Linked DNA regions of Mus musculus. The protein of the gene in region 4 interacts with the protein of the main gene of each other region in a biochemical or structural test. Links are inferred from orthologs where the notes say so. Each region holds a gene or a part of one and is shown on either strand. Other genes may lie near its edges. The genes, in order: Lrrk2, Sirpa, Erbb2 and Matk.

The links.
Region 1: the proteins of Matk (region 4) and Lrrk2 interact on a protein array, tested with the Homo sapiens proteins (2 studies listed by BioGRID and IntAct, with this or other methods). The link is inferred for Mus musculus from reciprocal best matches to the Homo sapiens genes MATK and LRRK2.
Region 2: the proteins of Matk (region 4) and Sirpa form a complex in vitro, tested with the Homo sapiens proteins (3 studies listed by BioGRID, with this or other methods). The link is inferred for Mus musculus from reciprocal best matches to the Homo sapiens genes MATK and SIRPA.
Region 3: the proteins of Matk (region 4) and Erbb2 form a complex in vitro, tested with the Homo sapiens proteins (2 studies listed by BioGRID and IntAct, with this or other methods). The link is inferred for Mus musculus from reciprocal best matches to the Homo sapiens genes MATK and ERBB2.

The regions. Positions count from the first base shown.
Region 1 is NC_000081.6:91,808,787-91,813,564, forward strand, and holds part of Lrrk2 (leucine-rich repeat serine/threonine-protein kinase 2), read left to right. Parts: intron 1-2,205; coding exon 2,206-2,358; intron 2,359-3,405; coding exon 3,406-3,614; intron 3,615-4,778. UniProt on the Homo sapiens protein: Serine/threonine-protein kinase which phosphorylates a broad range of proteins involved in multiple processes such as neuronal plasticity, innate immunity, autophagy, and vesicle trafficking.
Region 2 is NC_000068.7:129,612,551-129,617,328, reverse strand, and holds part of Sirpa (tyrosine-protein phosphatase non-receptor type substrate 1 isoform 1 precursor), read right to left. Parts: intron 1,883-4,778; coding exon 1,565-1,882; intron 1,107-1,564; coding exon 771-1,106; intron 1-770. UniProt on the Homo sapiens protein: Immunoglobulin-like cell surface receptor for CD47. Acts as docking protein and induces translocation of PTPN6, PTPN11 and other binding partners from the cytosol to the plasma membrane.
Region 3 is NC_000077.6:98,432,067-98,436,844, reverse strand, and holds part of Erbb2 (receptor tyrosine-protein kinase erbB-2 precursor), read right to left. Parts: intron 3,935-4,778; coding exon 3,796-3,934; intron 3,715-3,795; coding exon 3,592-3,714; intron 3,447-3,591; coding exon 3,348-3,446; intron 2,954-3,347; coding exon 2,768-2,953; intron 2,632-2,767; coding exon 2,476-2,631; intron 2,346-2,475; coding exon 2,270-2,345; intron 2,044-2,269; coding exon 1,897-2,043; intron 1,571-1,896; coding exon 1,473-1,570; intron 1,321-1,472; coding exon 1,132-1,320; intron 917-1,131; coding exon 664-916; intron 533-663; coding exon 177-532; 3' UTR 1-176. UniProt on the Homo sapiens protein: Protein tyrosine kinase that is part of several cell surface receptor complexes, but that apparently needs a coreceptor for ligand binding. Essential component of a neuregulin-receptor complex, although neuregulins do not interact with it alone.
Region 4 is NC_000076.6:81,255,535-81,260,751, reverse strand, and holds the start of Matk (megakaryocyte-associated tyrosine-protein kinase), read right to left. Parts: upstream 3,454-5,217; 5' UTR 3,178-3,453; intron 2,923-3,177; exon of another isoform or gene 2,782-2,922; intron 2,712-2,781; exon of another isoform or gene 2,517-2,711; coding exon of another isoform or gene 2,448-2,516; intron 2,273-2,447; coding exon of another isoform or gene 2,222-2,272; coding exon 2,213-2,221; intron 1,579-2,212; coding exon of another isoform or gene 1,576-1,578; coding exon 1,465-1,575; intron 1,370-1,464; coding exon 1,254-1,369; intron 1,166-1,253; coding exon 946-1,165; intron 664-945; coding exon 570-663; intron 1-569.

The DNA.
Region 1 (4,778 bases), on a different chromosome or scaffold from region 4:
CTCTTTGTGCTTTCACTGCTCCAGGCCTTTCCTTCACAGCAGTTACCCTACTGCTTTTTAATGTAATATCTTAATTCCATTGTTCACAGTGGTTCTCCATGAGCGGTGATCAAAAATTGCTAGGGAGCTCAGTCAGTCTCATGCCCAGGCCTTGCTTCGGGCCAATGAAATCAAGACAACTAAGAGGATTCTGGCTTCAGTTTCAATGCTTTAATGTATTATGGTATTAGATGATTCTAAAGCATAATCATCATTAAGATATACTCCAGTATATTACAAGTCAGTACAGATGAGTGGTAGTTTTGCAATATTTATGTGTTTACTAGCATGTGTAAGTATTTGGATAGCCTCCTTTTTCTGTGATATTCACTTTTTAGAGAAGTATACAATCCTTAAATATTTTAGAAGCAGAGACATCCATTTGATATAGAGCATTTGATGGCATTGTGGGTATGTATTGGTACCTTGTGTGGATGGAAAACAGCCATGAAGAGCAGCCTCACCCAGGAGTTCATTTTCCTAGAGAGATGAAGACTCACATCACATAAGGCACAGGGAAACAGTTGCCTTGTTCTAAGGGTATTTACTGCTGTGCTCTCCACACACACAGAGGTAAGAGCACTGATCAGGGACAGCGTCATTACAGTACCCTATAGTTAGTGCTGTGTTCCATGACTGGAAGACACATGTAGTCCTGAAAAATGTCTGCTTTTAGAGTCTGAGACTTGTTTTGTGTCTCTGTTCTGCAACATGCCAGTCATGTGGCCTGGGAGTGAATTATTTACCATTTGTAAGATGTATTCTTTTTGCATATCTAGGCACTGAGATTCATCTTTTTTTATAAATTTATTTGCATTTCTTATGGTAGGACAGAACGTGGGGCCCTGTGAGTGCTAGGTGACGTCTGTATCATTGGATTATGCCTGCAGGGATGTAATTTTATGGTTAAGGATCAACACAAGACAACACACGAAACTGTTGCGTGGTTCTAAAACCATGTGTTTATGTTCATTCTCACGGAAGTCTTTATTGAAGACTCAGCAAACACTTGAGCAAAATCAATGAAAACAATGGCTCTCTGGCAGGAGGGGATATTTTCATCTTCCTTAAAGAACAGAAAGAAAAAATGGAGGGAAAAAACCCTCCTGCCTATTAAAAGAAATATTGATTTTTTTCAATTCCCCTGACATTTCTATATATTCTGTCTAAGTCAATCACAAATTTGAAGTTCCTCACTTTTTTCCAGGTGCCCATTCAACCTTGCTAGTTCATTCTTTGTTGATCCATCCTTCTGTCCACTCAGTGAATCAAATGGGCCAGCACAGCACACACACTTCGCTATGTATGATAATGGTGCACTGAATTGTGGACATATAGGAGAGATTGGCATTTGTTTTTAGGAAGTTATATTGACAGTCTAGTGTGGGGGATACACTAATGAGTGAGACTTTATGTTTAATAGGACTATGAGAAAGATTATAGCTATGCAATTAGGGGGAAGGAAACAGCTGGCCTGTTCTCTCCCAGAGATCAGGGAAGAATTCCAGAGAAGCTGACATTAAGGTGAGCCTGGAGCATGCCATGCAGATGGGGCCTACAGTCTCTAATCTGCTTGTGAGCTATACGTGACACTTATGTGTTAGGTTAAAAGAGCAATATTTGAAAATGCTTTCTATTTTCTTCTGTTTTCAAGGAGAATAAATAACAAGTATCTAATTTCTCAAGCTCTGTTAACGTTGTACTCATTTGAATCTTTGTGGAAGGTTTTTTTTTTTTTCATATTTGACTGACTTACATTTACAAAGCTAGGGGGTTCTTTGATGTTTGGAGACATTGCCACTGTAATTTATCTCCACGTCTTTTTAATTCTAGGTACAAAGAGCCAGTTCTCAGGTTTCCCCAACACTCATGGCAACAAGGATTCTGTTGACATGTCTAAAACTTACAGACACCATATTTCTTTGAGGATTTAAGAGGTCGTGTAAAATTCCATACAGAATCAGGTTGACCTAAGCTGCAAAATTGTACCGTTTATTCTGTGGTCAAGTACAGCCCAAACCAGTTAACCAGAATGGGTTAAGTAGCCAAGTCATTCAACTGGGTTGAGAGAAAAATGTATTATAATTACGATAGCACAACTTGTTTGATTTTGCAAATAGCGTTAACTTTCTGAATATATTTTTTTCTATCTTTCTTCCCCCTCAGGTTTTCTTACGCAGCTTTCAGCGATTCTAACATCATAGCGCTGGCAGTAGACACAGCCCTGTATATTGCCAAGAAAAACAGCCCTGTCGTAGAGGTGTGGGACAAGAAAACAGAAAAGCTCTGTGAATTAATAGACTGTGTGCACTTCTTAAAGTAAATGAATTGGTTACTCTACCTCTGGTTTTACAAGTCAGGGTCCACAGAGAAAGGAATTGTGGCTTTTGTTTATTCCTGTCTTCTAGGGAAATTAAAAAAAAATATTTTGAAGAAAGTTTACTCTTTGTTAATACATCCTATGTATTTTCTTACACATATATCTCTATATCATCTCATCCCATCTCATCTCATCTCATCTCATCTCATCTCATCTCATCTCATCTCATCTCATCTCTCTATCTCTCTATCTCTCTATCTCTATCTGTCTGTCTGTCTGTCTGTCTGTCTGTCTATCAATCTTATATAGGTATAGTCTACATCATCTATATATCTATATGTTTGAATATAAGTGACTTATTTTTCTTTTGTAATTTTCAGATTTCACAGAGAGCATTGAAGCTAATTCCTTTATATTAACACGGAAATTTCATTGTATTTATAGTAAATATTTACAAGTTATAACATTCATTACAAAACAATGAATATCCATCTAATTCACTTAAGAATTTCCTAAAGTTGAGAGGTTATGGCAATCATCAATATCTTTGAAAACTTGTGCTTCAAGCAAAGGAATGTGCTTCCTGGCTTTTTGTGTTAAACAATTGAACTCTGCAGTCTTGAACTCTACCCAGAGCATAAAGCCAGCCTTCCATTTTTCCAGGTTTTCCTTCCAGTGTAGACCCTGATGCTTGCATGGTTACTGAATATGTACGTGCATGCTCTGTTCCTGTCATTAATCCCTAAACAATACAGCATAAAAGCTATTTACACAGAATTCACATTACATCAGTACAATGAGTTGTTTAAAGTTGGAGGGAGGACGGATGGAAGCTTCCTGAAAAGGCTGTGCTGTTTTTAAATAAAGAATCATAATTCCTGTGATTTTGGTAACTAAAGCCAGGGAACCTGTGTTCAGACTTCCAATATGACTGCCTTGACGCCGCCATGGTTTAAAATTTAGTAAGCTGTGCATGCCTGGGTAAATCTTTCAAGTCTCTTCAGTGCCATTAGAACGTTGAGTAAATACTTTCTTTATGGTTCTAGGGAGGTGATGGTAAAACTAAACAAGGAATCGAAACATCAGCTGTCCTACTCTGGGAGGGTGAAGGCCCTCTGCCTGCAGAAGAACACGGCTCTCTGGATCGGAACTGGAGGAGGCCACATCTTACTCCTGGATCTTTCTACTCGGCGAGTTATCCGCACCATTCACAATTTCTGTGATTCTGTGAGAGCCATGGCCACAGCACAATTAGGCAAGTTTCTTTCTTTAGATAAATCCATACTTGTTCTGTTTTTTGTTTTTGTTTTTGTTTTTGATTTTTCAAGACAGGGTTTGTATATAGCCCTGGCTGTCCTGGAACTCAACTTTGTAGACCTGGCTGGCCTCGAACTCAGAAATCCACCTGCCTCTGCCTCCCGAGTGCTGGGATTAAAGGTGTGCGCCACCACGCCCAGCTAAATCCATACCTTTTATGATGACAAAAATACCATTTTTTTTAAGTAAAATCTCTTTAAGGGGAATTCTGATGCAAATTGTAGTGCTTTCAAGGGTCACATGATGAAGCCATCACTGGGCTAACTTCTGAGTAGGGCCAGTTAACACTAGAAGGGATAGATGCTTTTAGTCTCATGAGAGAGGCAGGCAACCTCAGATGCAACCAATTTAGCTCTCAAGAGCTCTTTTCACTATATCTAAGGCAAAAGAGAAAGTGCATACAGTGTATATTTCACTCTTCATCAAATAAGTCAAATGAATGCTTAAGCTGACTGTAAGCTTCACACCCTTGTCAGCTTCCGGCTTGGCTTTTACTCTTTAAATAAATTTATATTCTTAGAGCAATGATGCACAGTGAACTCCCAAGTCCACAGTTATCTTTGCTAACTTTTAAATTTTATCCAAGCTTTGGTTCATATTCTTGTTCATATTTTTTCCACTTAAATGTGAATAAATCAGGGTACCATGTGGACTATATTTTTCACAAAGGAATTTTTTAGTATCTTCGTTAGATGACTAATTTTATTTAGAAAACAGTAATTGCCCCATGTATGCAGACCTAATGACAAAAATATTTCAGTGGGGTGTGGCACCCCAAAAGCAGGCTTGTGAAACTTTACCAAATGGGAAGGGAAACACTCCCCATAAGAGGAATAAATTTAGCACCAAAAGGAGTTTCCCCTGCCTGGCACGGGCTTTTCATCTCTGGATACCTGAGCTGCATGTGTGAGCTAGAATTAGGTGTGCCTGGGATTTCAAACTGTCATATATGTGTTAAACAACCAGGGAGGGAGATATCACAATGGTTGTATCCACAGCCACCATCTACCAACTGTGTTAAATTCTCACCTTTGGTTTGTATGCCTTTTGGGGTCTAAGTGGTTGGTTATCACTAAAGTCTCAGTCAGTACAGTGAGCTGTG
Region 2 (4,778 bases), on a different chromosome or scaffold from region 4:
CTTTGAAGGAGGAGTGGAAAGGCGGCCCCTGTTCTCTCCCCTTCAGAGGCTCTGCTATGTACACAGCATCAGCTGTAGAGCCGACAAACATTGAGACAGTGCTAAAGAGCTGTTGCCACGTGGCCACTTTCAAAAGAAGAGCTCTGGATTGACGGCACACTGGAGGGGCTGAGGTGGCACTGCTGACATGTCAACTGTCACAGGATGTGGAGCATGGCAGCTGTCCTAGACACACACACCTTGGCCTAGGAATAGTCACAGGATGACTGTCCCAGGGAGATGGCCACTAGGAGAAGGTATGAACAAGGATACTCTTTGCAGTACTGGCTGTCCCTGAGCCAGATCGCCAGCCTCTATGAGACATTAAAGGAGGGACAAGCGATGGCACAGCAAGGAGCAGAGGCCAGAAAGAGTGAGAGTAGGGGAGGGGCCATGGGGATAGAACAACTGTTAGGAGGAAAAAGCAGGAGGCAGGAGGCAAGCAAAGACAGACTCCGTCTCCCTTTCCTCCTCTCTGATACACTGTGTCATCAGACCTATCCAGACAGGAGCCAAACTCTTACCAGTGCTGAATCTAGGAGCACAAATGCTGGAGAAGCAGTTCCCATTTTAAAACTGTGTTTATGCTTATAAACTTCTAGACTTCTCTATAATAAGCATGATATAATAACTTTAACATTGAAAAACAGATAAAATCATGATAAAGATTCAAAAAAAAAAAAAAAAAGGAAAAAGAAAAAAAGACCAATCAGCGGGAGTGGAGGCCTCACCAGGGAAGGTTTGCATGCTCCCTTGATCACTCGAGTGGGCAAATCCCAGCACGGTATGGTTTCGGGTGATCGCTGGCTGTTGGTCGTGCTTCACCTGGCACGTGAACACCACGTCCTCTCTATGAGCAGATGAGTTCACCAGGAACAAGCTTGTGTAATTATAGGTCCCATCCGTGTTCTTTGTGAGATTCTTGGGCGTGTCATTCCGTGATACGTTTCCATTCTCCAGCCAGATCAGCTGGAGATCCTCGGGGTAGAACCTCTCAGCCCGGCAGGTGAGGTTCACCTGGTTCATTGACGTCGGGGACTGTTGGGTGACCTTCACGGTGGGTGAAACTGAAACAGTACAGGCAAAAGCTCTAACCTTAAGCTGCACTGTGATCCCAGGGAGGGGCTGCAGAGCTGAGCCTCTCCCACCATCACAGCAAACAAACAAGACTACTAGGCATGCATTGCGTACTCAGGCAGTGTGGGTCTCATACAAATGGAATCACTAAGCACAGCACCCAGAACACAAACGGTGCCTTGTCTGGGAACTGGTAGCATTAAGCACAGTACCCAGAATACAAACGGTGCCTTGTCTGGGAACTGGTAGCTACTGGTATGGTGATAATGAATGATGTCAATGCATGCAGTACCTAAAACAAAATAAATGAAAACTACCAGGCAAAGGGGGCGTGGCTCACACTGGGTACCCAGGAATTATAGTTGCCATTGAAATGCAACTACCAGCATGGTGCTAGTCATAGGGTAATGGCTGCTGTGAACTTGGGCTAGAAGTCAAGGACATCTACCTCGGATGAAGTTAGACAGGTTAGCAATCCCACGAAGAGGGCTTCTATCCAAGGTGATGTGGGCTACCTCGCAGATGACCTTAGAATTAACATCCATGGAGTTTAGTACCACCCTGACTGTGCTGGAGATGTTGTAGGAGACATTCTTTCCACTAGGGTTCACGGTGGTCTCCAAGGGGTGGAGTTCTTGCCCATCTTTGAACCACTTCAGGGTGATATTCCGGGGAGAGAAGCCATGAGACTTGCAGGTGAAGTTCACTTTCTGGTCAGGTATGCCCCTGTCTGCTGGGCCGGATACCTCCGGTGGAGAAGGTTTGGCTAAAGGAGCATTTATAGACAAGAAATATGATTGTGATGGCCAAGCAAATGAACTGGTGGTGTAAGTCGTCTGCCTAGATACTGTCATCACACTGGAACATGGGGGATTGGCCCCAGGGCTTTATGCACACTCAGTGCATATTCTACTACTAAACCGTATGGCGTCTCTAGACTGGTGACACTATTCATTAATCTCCCTCCTGATGAAGCTGGAATGACCATGTCCTTAGCCTTCTATCTGGGGAGGATGCAGAGGTTTCATGAAATGGAGGGGTCAGTCAGGCAGTAAGGCAAGGCCAGGAACTCCAGGCCCGAGGTCTAAATCTTCTCTGCTTCAGGGATTTCCAAGATTGCTGACCTATCTCATTCTTTAACTACTTTTAACTGCATTCCTGGAAACTCTGCCAACTTAGAGAAAAGTGTTTGCAGAAGTAAACACAGGAAACAAATAACACTGTAGGATCCCAGTGGCTGCTCTGAGATGTTTACACTGCCCAGAGCCACGCATATGAAATGGGAGGCAAGGTTTCTGCTCTCTGGACGCGGTGAGGAAGAGATGAGGCCCTGGAGGCTTCCTGCTTCAGATGACTGACAGACACACAGAGATGCTCCTCAACAAGACACACAGATCTGACCTTGACCTGGATATTTATTTAAAAAAATTTTTAATGTGTCTGTGTATATGAGTGAGTTCCTTAAGAGAGCAGAGAGGACACTGGATCCCCTGGAGCTGTGGTCGCAGGCGGTTGTGAGTCACCCAGCCGCGTGGGTGCTGGGAATTGAACTAAGATCCTTGGTAAGCGCAGTACAAGCTCCTCAATCAGTGAGCCTCTCTCCAGCCCTACACTTTATTCTTACATCCTCCCTGTAAGAACTTGGGAATTCACTACGTGGGTTTTCCTCTTCTCTCTCTACAACCTAGTAGGCTTTTCCCAGGCCAAGTCCCATATTTGAAAGAGAGAGGCTAAAGGGAATTTTTGCTTTCAATCTGGAGAGCTTTTGTTTATAGAGTTGGAAACAAAGATCACTTCTATGTTAAGAAAGCCAAAGGTGGCTCTTGATTTCTAATTAGTAAAGAGACAGCAGCGAGCAGCCCCACCAAGCAAGCAGACACGCTTCTTCTGGTCCTGAATGGACTCATGGGTGACTAGGAGGGAGGCAGTGTCCCTTGGGGATTAATCCAAACTGCTCATAAGCAACCAGCATCACTTCCAGACAGCAAACACAACACGTTTCCATCTGCCAACACATACTTGCTCCCTAATATCCGCCTAATATGTCGAGGGCACAGAAAGGAGGTGTCACTTGAAGAAGTCAAGTCATCAGGACACCAGCAGCAGTGAAGAGCCATCCGTCAGGCCCTGGGGACTCCCTGTGCTTAAATCTAACCCAACTGCAAATGTAAAATATTGTTGAAAAAGCTGCATCTGTACTGAATAGTAACAGACTTTTTCTTGTCACTATTCCCTAAACAACACATAGAACAACTATTTACATAGCATTTGCATCGTATTAAGTATTATAAGAAACCCAGAGATGATTTAAAATAGATGGCAGGATGTGTGTAGGTTACACGCAAATCTCCCCCATCCTGGATGAGGGCCTTAAGCATCTTTGGATTTGGGTATCCTACAGATACCAGGAAAAAGCTGAAGTCACCATCTATTGAGTTCTTAGAGCCTGGCACTGGCTGCTCTCTCTGTGCCCATGATGGGGTAGTTAGGGTGAACTCCTTCTGTAGGACAAGGCTCAGAGGAGAGTGGGACTAGCCAAAAGCATAGTGGGTGGGTTTCAACTCTTCCACTGAGATAACTAATTTAGTACTTAAAAAATATTTATCTTCTGGGGCCTGGAGAGATGGCCCAGTGGTTAAGAACACTGACCATTTGTCTTAGTCAGGGTTTCTATTCCTGCACAAACCTCAGGACCAAGAAACAAGTTGGGGAAGAAAGGGTTTATTCGGCTTACATTTCCATACTGCTGTTGATCACCAAAGGATGCAGGACTGGAACTCAAGCAGGTCAGAAAGCAGGAGCTGATGCAGAGGCCATGGAGGGATGTTCTTTACTGGCTTGCTCAGCCTGCTCTCTTATAGAACCCAAGACAACCAGCCCAGAGATGGTCCCACCCACAAGGGGCCTTTCCTCTTGATCACTAATTGAGAAAATGCCTTACAGTTGGATCTCATGGAGGCATTTCCTCAACTGAAGCTCCTTTCTCTGTGATAACTCCAGCTGTGTCAAGTTGACACAAAACTAGCCAATACAACTGACCCCTTGTCAACTTGACACACAAACACATCACTAGTAAGCCTCAACCCTTACATTCTTATTCATCCCCAAGGTCTAAATAACTTTAAATGTCCCACAGTCTTTACATATTCTTAAAATTTCAATCTCTTTAAAATATCCATCTCTTTTAAAAATCCAAAGTCTTTTTAAATTAAAAGTCTCTTAACTGTGGGCATCACTAAAACAGTTTCTTCCTTCAAGAGGGAAAATATCAGGGCACAGTCACAATCAAAAGCAAAAATCAATCTCCAACCGTTCAATGTCTGGGATCCAACTCACGATCTTCTGGGCTCCTCCAAGGGCTTGGGTCACTTCTCCAGCCATGCCCTTTGTAGCACACGCGTCATCCTCTAGGCTCCAGATGCCTCTACTCCACTGCTGCTGCTGCTCTTGGTGGTCATCTCATGGTACTGGCATCTCCAAAACACTGCATGACCCCTTCAGTCCTGGGCCATCAATTGCAACTGAGGCTGCACTTTCACCAATGGCCTTCCATGGCCTCTCACAGTGCCAAGCCTCAGCTGCTCTGCTCAACTCCTTCATGCCTTCAAAACCAGTACCACCTGGGTGACCCTTACATATTACCAAGTCCCGCTGCAGCAGGA
Region 3 (4,778 bases), on a different chromosome or scaffold from region 4:
CCACTCAGGATTGAAGCATCGAGCGAGGTTCCTCAGGGCACGTTCCTGGCATAGCCGGCTGCCCTGGATGTCATGTGGCCAGAGGACCTTCTCCCTGCTTTGTGGCGGGCGATGGAGACCACAAGTTAGGCCTTCCTTCCCCACTCTGAAGACAGAGGATGTCTGCACATGTGACCTCATACTGGCACATCCAGGCCTAGGTACTCAGGGTTCTCTGCAGTGGGGGTCCCTTCAAAGGTACTTGGTGGAGGACCCTGCTCCGATGAGTTCTGGTCCCAGTAATAGAGGTTGTCAAAGGCTGGGCTGAAGGCAGGAGAAGGGTGGGGCTGAGAGGCAGTGCCTGCTCTGGGTGCTAAGTATTCAGGGTTCTCCACAGCACCCCCAAAGGCAAAAACGTCTTTGACAACCCCATTTTTCCCAGGAGAGAGAGTCTTGGGTCTTTCTAGAGTAGCACCAGCAGGTCGGATGGGAGGCGGAGGACCCTCTGGGGTCAAGGGAGACTGAGGCCGAACCTCTGGCTGGTTCACATACTCTGAGGAGAGAAGAGATGTTGTTAGGGAAAGGGTCCAAGATATTCCTGCCCCATCATTGCCCCTCAGTGGGTGTAGCCTGAGGGTTCTCAACTCCCCTCTCCTCCCAATCTCTCGGGCCTGGATTTCATACCGGGCTGGGGGCTGCAGGCCAGGGGAGCAACGTAGCCATCAGTCTCGGGGGGCAGAGGTAATGTGGGATCCTCACTGTACCGCTGTAGAGGGCTGAGGTCATGTGGAGAGAGGCTCTGCAGTCCTTTGGTTACCCCCACTGCCAGGTCACCATCAAACACATCGGAGCCAGCCCCTTCGGAGGGAGCCAGTGGAGATCTGGGGGGCTCTTCTTCCGAGGGCTCCAGGCCCAGTGTCAGCTCACCACCGCCACTCTGGGGTAAGAGAAGGTCATGATGGGAGCTACTCAAAAGTCTGCGAGGGGAACAACGGGGTCCCAGGAGAGAAACACAGGTCACGATGGTGGCAGTGATGGAGAGAGTGGGGCCCCAAGGGTTGGAAAGCAGCCATGGTAATGGAATCTTCAGGAAAGGTGAGGGTGGGGGAGCTCAAAGGGCAGGACCATCCCTATTCCGAGGTGGGCACTGACCCTGGCCGACGAGCTGCGGTGTCTGCGGTGGGCTGTGCTCCCAGTACCTAGGGCAGGGTCTGGGGAGAAGAATCCCTGCTGGGGTACCAGGTACTCTTCAGCATCGACCAGCTCCCCCATGTCATCATCCTCCAGCAGTGAACGGTAGAAGGTGCTGTCCATGGGGCTGGAGGGGCCTAAGTCCTCGTTCTAGGAAGGAAGGGGAGACACGAGGTGACAGCCCTCCCAGCCTGGTGTTTAGTTCCCTGGAAGGGTTCACCGAGCTTTGGCTAGAGGCAGGGGCTATCCCTGCAGGAGGGAGGATGCTGTCAGAGCAGGTATGGTGTGGGAAAGCCCAGTACCTGGATGACCACAAAGCGCTGGGGGTCCCTTGCCATACGGGAGAATTCTGATACCAACTCCCGGAATCTCGGGCGACATTCGGAGTCAATCATCCAACCTAAGGCGGAAAAAAGTTCAGCATCCTTGTCCCAGGACCAGCCTGGCCTAGACAACCCTGGCTAAGCTGAAAGCCCTCCCGTGGCAGAGCACAACTGGACTCTGGGATCTTGAGGCAGAACCCTGGAGCGTTTCTAGGGTCCCCTTTTAGACTGGCCTCTCTCCTCTCCACAGATGTCCTCTGGCAGGACTTCCACTGTGAATAGGTAAGGCACCTTTGAGGCTCCCTCCAGGACACCTCCCATTTATCCCCCAGCCTGTAAGCGCCCGCACACAGGTCTACCACCCTTCCTCTCTGCCTGCCTGAGGCTCAGCCCTGCCACGCACATTTGACCATGATCATGTAGACGTCGATGGTGCAGATTGGAGGCTGAGGTAGGCGTTCTCCCTTCTCCAGCAAATCAGGGATCTCCCGAGCTGGGATCCCATCGTAAGGTTTGGCCCCAAAGGTCATCAGCTCCCACACAGTCACACCTAGGACAGACAGGCGTCAGGAGTCGGGGGACAGAGGAAGTCTGGGTGTGCAAAGGGAGGGGCTGTGCCAAGAGGTGGGGTCTACCCAGTCTCCTCACTCCCCAGGTGGCCATAAGACTGCACTGGGTAGACATAGACAACCTTCCTCCCCTTCCTCCTATCCCCACCCTCATTCTTCTGCCTGCATCCCACCCTGCCCAGCAACGCATCTACAGCCTCCACACACCATAGCTCCACACATCACTCTGATGGGTGAACCGGCGTCTGAGAATAGATTCCAATGCCATCCACTTGATGGGCACCTGGGGATGCAGAGTAAGAAGTCCTGACTGGGTGTGGTAGGGAGGTGACCCTTTTCCACGTTATCCCAAAGAAAGGTCAGATACCAATCCAGCCCGCCCCACCTCTCCCTCCTCCTCTCCCTCCTCCAACCTTGCCCCCATCTGCATGGTATTCAGTCTCATCAATGTCCAGCAGCCGTGCCAGCCCGAAGTCGGTAATCTTGACGTGGTTGGGACTCTTGACTAGCACGTTTCGGGCAGCTAGGTCCCTGTGAACAAGCCGAACTTCCTCCAGGTAGCTCATCCCCTGGACAAAGGGCATCCGTGTGGCACGTGAGTCTACATCACACCTTAGGGGTACTCCCACCTCATCCTGGCCCCGAATGAAGGCAGGGATTTGCACCCAAAAGATCTGCAGAGCCAGCAACCCCCAAAGCACATACCTTGGCAATCTGAACACACCAGTTGAGCAGGTCCTGGGAGCCTAAGCGACCTCGGTGTTCTCGGACATGGTCCAGAAGGCAGCCATAGGGCATAAGCTGTGTCACCAGCTGCACTGTGGATGTCAGGCAGATGCCCAGGAGGCGGGACACATATGGAGAACCCACACCAGCCATGACGTACGCTTCCTGCAGACAAGGGAACAGAGGGATACAGGAAACCATCAACTTCCATCCACTCTACTCTCCCAGAGACCCTCACCCTCCCTCACTGGCTACAGCCAGGGCCTCCAGACTAGGAAGATGAAGAGTCAAACCCCAATGAGGAAAAAGCAGCCCAGATCTGCACCTAGGAGCTCCTCACATTCTCAAGGGAGAGGGTAAAAAAAACAAAAACGGGGGGTGATCTTCACAATCCCAAGGAGGAGGTTAAAGGGGGGCTCCTCACATTCCCAAGGGGGAGGGTAAGGGGGGAGGGCTCCTCACATTCCCAAGGGGGAGGGTAAGGGGGGAGGGCTCCTCACATTCCCAAGGGGGAGGGTAAGGGGGGAGGGCTTCCCTAGCGGGGGGGGGGGGGGCTTACATCTAGGATTTCTTTGTTAGCTTTAGGAGATGTGTTTTCCCTCAACACCTTGATGGCCACGGGGATTTTCACGTTCTCCCCATCTGGGATCCAGATGCCCTGAGCGAAAAGAAAGGGACTAGAGTCAGGCCCCCATTAAGACACTGAGGAGTAGCCGTCCCCAGCCTCCAGCTTGGCCCACTCCAGTCTCTTGACCATGCCCCTCCCCCAGATCCACCCATGCCAGAACTGGTCCTCTCCTGACCTTGTAGACAGTGCCGAAGGCTCCTGACCCAAGCACCTTCAGCTTCCTTAGCTCTGTCTCCTTTAGGATCCGCATCTGAGCCTGGTTGGGCACAGCTCCACTGGGCGTCAGCGGCTCCACCAGCTGGAGCGAGAGGGTGGTAGGGTGAATGCCCAGCTAGCTGCAAAGCCAAGGGGGTGCTAGGAGGCCCTCGGCACGCCTCACCTCGGTCTCCTGCAGCAGCCTACGCATGGTATACTTCCGGATCTTCTGTCGCCTTCGTTTGATTAGGATTCCAATGACCACCACTATGATCAGGAACAACAGGACGCCCACCACAGTTGCAATGATGAATGTCACTGGGCTGGAAACAAGAGCCAGAATCAGAGACTGGGGACTAGTTTGAGGAGGAAGCTTGAAGAGAACCCATGAAAGGACAGGAATGTCCCTTGGCTCAAAAACTTCACAGGAGATAACCCACCTTGTTAATCTGCACTGTGCAGCCCACCCCAGGGGCTTCTGCCTCATATGAAATGGGGTCCAGTTATATGTACCCCAAAACTCTCAGGTACTAGCCAAAGCATTCTTCAAGGAGCCATGGTTTCCCCTGCCTTGCAGCAGTTGCACCTAAGTTCTCAGGACCCGTGTTTCTCCATGATATAATCGTCTATGATTCTGCTTATCTTGGGGCACACAGGGTCCCTGATAGTCACCAGACCATTATTTGTTGGTATACTTAGTCTTGAGGCTACCTCACGATATAGCCCAGACTGGCTCTGAACTTACAAGCCATGTGCCTCAGTCTCCTAAGTGCTGGGGTCACAAGGTGTCTGCCACCATGTCGAGGCAGAACACATTCTTGTCACCCTTGCTTCCTTAATCCCCATCTTGCTCTGCACAAGGCCTGTTGTTACAGCCAGCGTCCAGTGTTTGCCTCACAGGCAAGCAGCAGCTTCTTAGAGCACACCCTAGACTGCTTTTCTCCCTTCTAAAGCTCTCCTCTGGCAAACCAGAGTCCTGGGGCCCAGGGGTCAAGAACCCTACCCTGCCTTCCAGATCTAGACCTCACGGCCTCAGTTCACACCCTTTCTGCACTGGTGTGGTTCACAGCACACACCAGAGAGCTCTTAGCCACCCTAGACTTGCCTGACTCTCCACCGGAGTGCAAAGAAAACACAACACCGTCCCCCCTGCCCGCCCCCACCCCA
Region 4 (5,217 bases):
GGACACCCCACTCCTGGTACTATTTACAGCCCTGCAAGCCACAGCCATCCCAGCCTTCATCAGAATACAGTCCCCCCCTAGGTTCCCTAGACTTGAGCCATGCTCCAGGACCTCCCTCTAGGGACAAGGAGTATGACTGCCCCTGTGGCCCGCCATGCCTCTGGGAGGGCCTTCCCCTTGCTGACCCACACAGAACAAAAGGCACAGAAATACAGAGAGGTTTGCACAGGTTCTGGAATCTTTCAGGGCTATAGTCTCCATAATCTTGTACTCTGCACAGACTTGCAGTTGCCTCTGAAAGCCCTCCCTCCCTTCCAAAGACCTCTAACCCCCACCCTACCGCCACTCTGAAGATTCAAGCAGGACAGACACCTCTCCACTGCGATTTTTGTCTCTGTGATTCCATAGCCCCCACTGGATAAGTGTGACAGGGTTGGAAGACGCAGGGGCTTAACCAAGCCAAGGCTGGGGTGTGAGGGTGAGCAATGAAATTAGGGGTGTGAGTCTGGGAGGTGGGAGTCTGCCTGGTGCGCACGAGGATGCTCCCTTCTGCAGTATGGCTCTCATACCCTTGGCGAGCTCCTCCTCTGCAGACTTTGCGCCCTGTTTCCTCCTTGGCTTCACCAGCTTGGTGCAGATGGCCCCCTTGTCCTTGGTGTAGTGCTGTGGAGGCCGCCGGCCATGAGCCTCTGCCCTGCAGGACCGCTCCCACCATCCCACCCCAAGTTTCAGTGAGGTTGCCAGACTCCTCCTCTAAGTGCCAGGCTAAGGTGATCGGGTTTCCATGGCAACAGTGGGGGTTGTAGAATGGAAACTGAGGGGTGGTTGGTGTGAACATAGAGCTCCCTGGGGAGGTGACCCCAGTTCTAGAGAAAGAAGTGACAGTTCCTGGGGCCACCATCCATATTTCCATCCCTCCTTCCCCAGCCTTGCCCCACACGTCACCTCCACCATGTCCATCAGGTTACAGAAACACACGGCCTCATCGATGGTGAGGTGCCCATCTCGATGCAAAACACGGTAGTGGATGACGTCACGGCCGAAACTGACACACAAGACATAGTCTCCAGGGTGACGAGCTGATTCCCTCACAAGGAACAGCCCGTCCTCGGGTGGCTGCAGCTGCTGTATGGCTTCCTGGCCGGAGATCTTGCCATGAAACCATCTGTAGGGATGTGTGTGGAGAGGGGGCTGTGTAAGGCAGGGGTAGAGGGGGCTGAGCCTCTCACACCACCCCCCAGGGTGCCACTCACGGCATGAGGCTGAGCTTGGGGTCTGTGGAGAGGGCCTCCCGCTGTCGCAGAGCAGCGGCCGCCAGCAGCCCTTCCTGCCCACTGCCATGGTGCTTGGCTCGGTACCAGCTCTTGTCCTGTACAGGAAGGGAACAGATGTGGGGAAGGAGCTGGTGGGTGTCGGCCCTGGCACCCCCAAGGCACACCACCTACCCTCCAGCTCCCCTCTCACCTCACAGGCCTCCAAGATGGTCACCATGTCACCCTTTCGAAAGGCTAGCTCACCGGGCTTGGGGCGAGAGTTCTCACACTTGGTCATGCATTGAGTCCCAGGGGCCCAGCGCTGCTGGGAAGGAGACAGAGGCAGAGGTATGTCAGGGACTGAACACAGGGACAAGTGGGAATTGGGAGGGACAGAGAGACCTGAGAGAAAGCTGGGGCTGGTGAGGATAGAAGACCGGACAAGGGAATAGTGAAGACACAGGCCTGTAGCCTAGCTCTCAGAAAGCTGAGCCAGGAGGACTCCAAACCAGCCAAAGGCCCATCCTGGGCTACAGTGAGACTTTGTCTCAAAAATTAAAAGATGATGATGCCAGGAGTGCTGGCCAACACTTGTAATCCCAGAACTCAGGGCAGGGGTGGGGGTAGCAGAGGAAAGTGGATCTCTGAGTTTGAGGCTAGCCTGGAGACTCTCAGGTCCCAAGCCAGGCATACCTACACATTGAGACCCTGTCTCAAGAATAAATTAAAATAAAGAATAGAGGCCTGGGGATAATGTCTAATACAGAAAGGAAGGGGGGAGGGAAACAGAGTTATAGAGAGAGGCAGAATTATAGTCACGTGAAGCCATTTTGGCGGGTGGGGGGAGAGGGGTCCTTGGGGACTGTCAGGTGTGGGTGCTTGCTCAAGTGGGGAGGGGCATGTTCCCCCCCAAAAGGGGACAGTTGAAAAGGTTTGGTGACTCAGGGCCCCACACTCACCGTTGGCATCCTAGCTGCAGCAGGCGCGGGGTGCCAAGCTCCGAACAATCTAGGGCTCACCTGTGAAGGAAGGCAGTGTCATGCTGGGAGTGTCCCCAGGTCCAGCTCTTTCCTCAGGGTCTGGCCTGGTGGCAGCAGCATCCAGGAAGCAAAGCGCCTCCCTCAAATCATCCCTTGGATGGCTTAGGTGTGGAGCCCCTCTGCAGCCCTTGGCTTTAGGGACAGTGATCATTACCCGAGGCAGGTCCCTAGATTCCCAGCCTTCAAAGGCCAGCCAGGAGACCCGGGAGCTTCGCCTTGCCATTGCTCGGGAAGGGAAACTGAGGCCCAGAGTCAGGAATGGAGTGATCTGGCCCAGGTGGCAGCCAGGGCTGTGTGTGAGAAAGAACTGGGCCTGTGGCTTCCTCTTTCCTGGGCGTGGGCAGAGGAGGCTGTGGGCAGGGGCCGTGACTCAAGGTCATTCCTGGGAATCTGACCCTAAGCGGAACCTGAGGAGGCCAGGCTCCCGTATAGCTCCTGGCTCCTCGGGTCGCAACGGGTCACCAAAGAAGCATCTTGAGGGGACCCACCCCATCCCAGCGCAGGCACTGCAGGGCTGCCCGGATCCCCGGCTGGTGGCTGGCAGGGGGGCAGGGCGGGAGGTTGGGGTGCGCTCCTGGCCTCAGACTCAGTGGGGTTTGCACGGCAGCCACGCAGGCGGAGGCGCACGTGCATCTGGGCACAGGTGCCACCAGCCACCCCCGTGTGTGCGACAAGGGCGCCAGTGAGACGCGTACACCTGTGCTGGTGCCTGTGGTGCACAAGGGCCCTGCAGTGACCACCGGGACTCGCGCACTCAGAGACTTGCACGCCGCACCCAGAAAAAAACCAAAATAAAACAAAAACCAGCCCGTTGCACCCGACGCCCCCGGGTCCAGGACCGTTTCGAGAGTGGTGTCCCCCTCCACCCACGCACACACGCTCACCTGCTTAGGGCGCGACCCTCGGAGGGTCCCTGCCAGCGGGTCGAGCACCCAGTGGCTCAACTCGGAGCAACTTGCAAGGCTTCCTCATTTTGGGGCAAGGATGGAGGGGACCCGGCTCGGAGCCCCCGCGGGTCCTAGCGCCGGTCTCACTAAGACCGCGCTGCCACCTCCTCCCGCTGCGCCTCCCACTCCGTCCGGGCAGAGTGCTGAGTACCAAGTGCCGGGTGCTCTCGGGTCCCCGCTGAATCCTAGCCTTCCTTCGCCCACCCTGGGAAAGCTGGGAGCGCGGAATGGCTCGGGCACGCGCGCAGGTGCTAGGAGTAGGAAGGAGCTCCCTGTCCGGGAAGGAGACCAAGGCAAGCTGCGGCCCTGCCTGGTCTGCCTGTACTTTCAGACATGCCAGCTGTGGAGCACTCAAACATCCTCCCAGCCCTCCGGAGGCAGAAGCAGGAGGATCTCTGTGAGTTGGAACCCTGCCTGGGCTAAAATAGAGAGCTACAGAGTAAGAACTTGCCTCAAAAAAAAAAAAAAAAAAAAAAAAAAAAAAAAAAAAGCAAATAAAACCCAATTAAGTAATTAAGCACGTTTGGGCAGAGGTGCCTAGAAGCACCCTGATGGACATGACACGGCCAGAAGCCACAGTCCTTAATCACAAGTCCCCAGGCAGATGCAGGTACCCACTGAGGAGTCCTTGGCCAGGGAGGCCCAGAGACTTGGAACCAAGGCAGCCCAAAGTTCCACTTTTCTCGGACCCTATTGCTGATGACAGTGTCTGAGTCACAGGCTCCCTCCCTCCTGTCACCATCAGCCACCACCCACACTGCCGGCAGATGCCCCACGGGTGCAGTAGTGGTCCAAGTGCTCTGCAGTAACCAACTGCTTTCTGACTCGCTCTGGCACGGGCCTAGCGAGACCTCCTCCAATTGTCTTACCAGTGGACTTTGTACAGATGTTTATTCTAGTACCTACAGTTAGCAAAGATCCAAAAGTGGGGACTGGGGCTCAATGGGTGACACACTGTGGTGTCACAGGCCTGTCACCTCAGCACTGGAGAGGCAGAAGCAGAAGGATCAGGAGTTAAGGTTATCCTCAGCTACGTAGTCAATTTAAGGCCAGCCTGGGCTACCTGAGAAGTATATGTGTTGAAACGGCACTGGCCCTTGGGGTTGAAGGACATAGCCTGCAATCCAAGCCTTGGGAGAAGCTGAGGCAGGAGCATGAGAAGATCAGGGTACAGAGGACATTTCCTTGTTTTTGTTTTTGTTTTTTTCAAGACAGTTTTTTTTTAAAAGATTTATTTATTATATGTAAGTACACTGTAGCTGTCTTCAGACACATCAGAAGAGTGCATCCAATCTCATTACGGATGGCTGTGAGCCACCATGTGGTTGCTGGGATTTGAACTCAGGACCTTCTGAAGAGCAGTCAGTGCTCTTACCTGCTGAGCCATCTCTCCAGCCCAAGACAGATCTTTTAAGAGAAGTGTTATTGTCAAGCTATAATGATGGTAGTGAGCCAGAGAGTTGTTTTAGTAGGGAAATCATTTGCTGCACACACGAGGGATCTGAGTTCAAAACCTTAAACTATGCAAAAATTCAGGTATAGTAGCTCATCTGTCATTGTAGCAAAGGGGAGGTTGAGACCCCAGCATCCCTGAAGCTCAGTGGCCACCAGTTTAGCACACCCGATGCATGGGAGGTTAAGTGAAAAAATCTGTCCAAAAACCAAAGTGGAAGCCAGGATTGTGGCCACAGCATTAGTCCCATGTGTCATGGAAGCAGAGGCAGGTGGATCTCTGAGTTTTAGGCCAGCCTGTTCCACAGAGTGAGTTCCAGGACAGCCAGAGCTACTCAGAGAAATCCTGTCTCGAAAAACCAAAACCAAAACAAACAAAAAACAACAACAAAAAAAGAAGTACAGCTCAGAGGAGACAGGGCATCCATGGCAGTTAGATGAGCCCACTCAGTGGTAAGAGCACTCTTGCACAAGACCCAGGATCAGTTTCCAACACCCACATGGTGATTTATAAACATCTGCAGC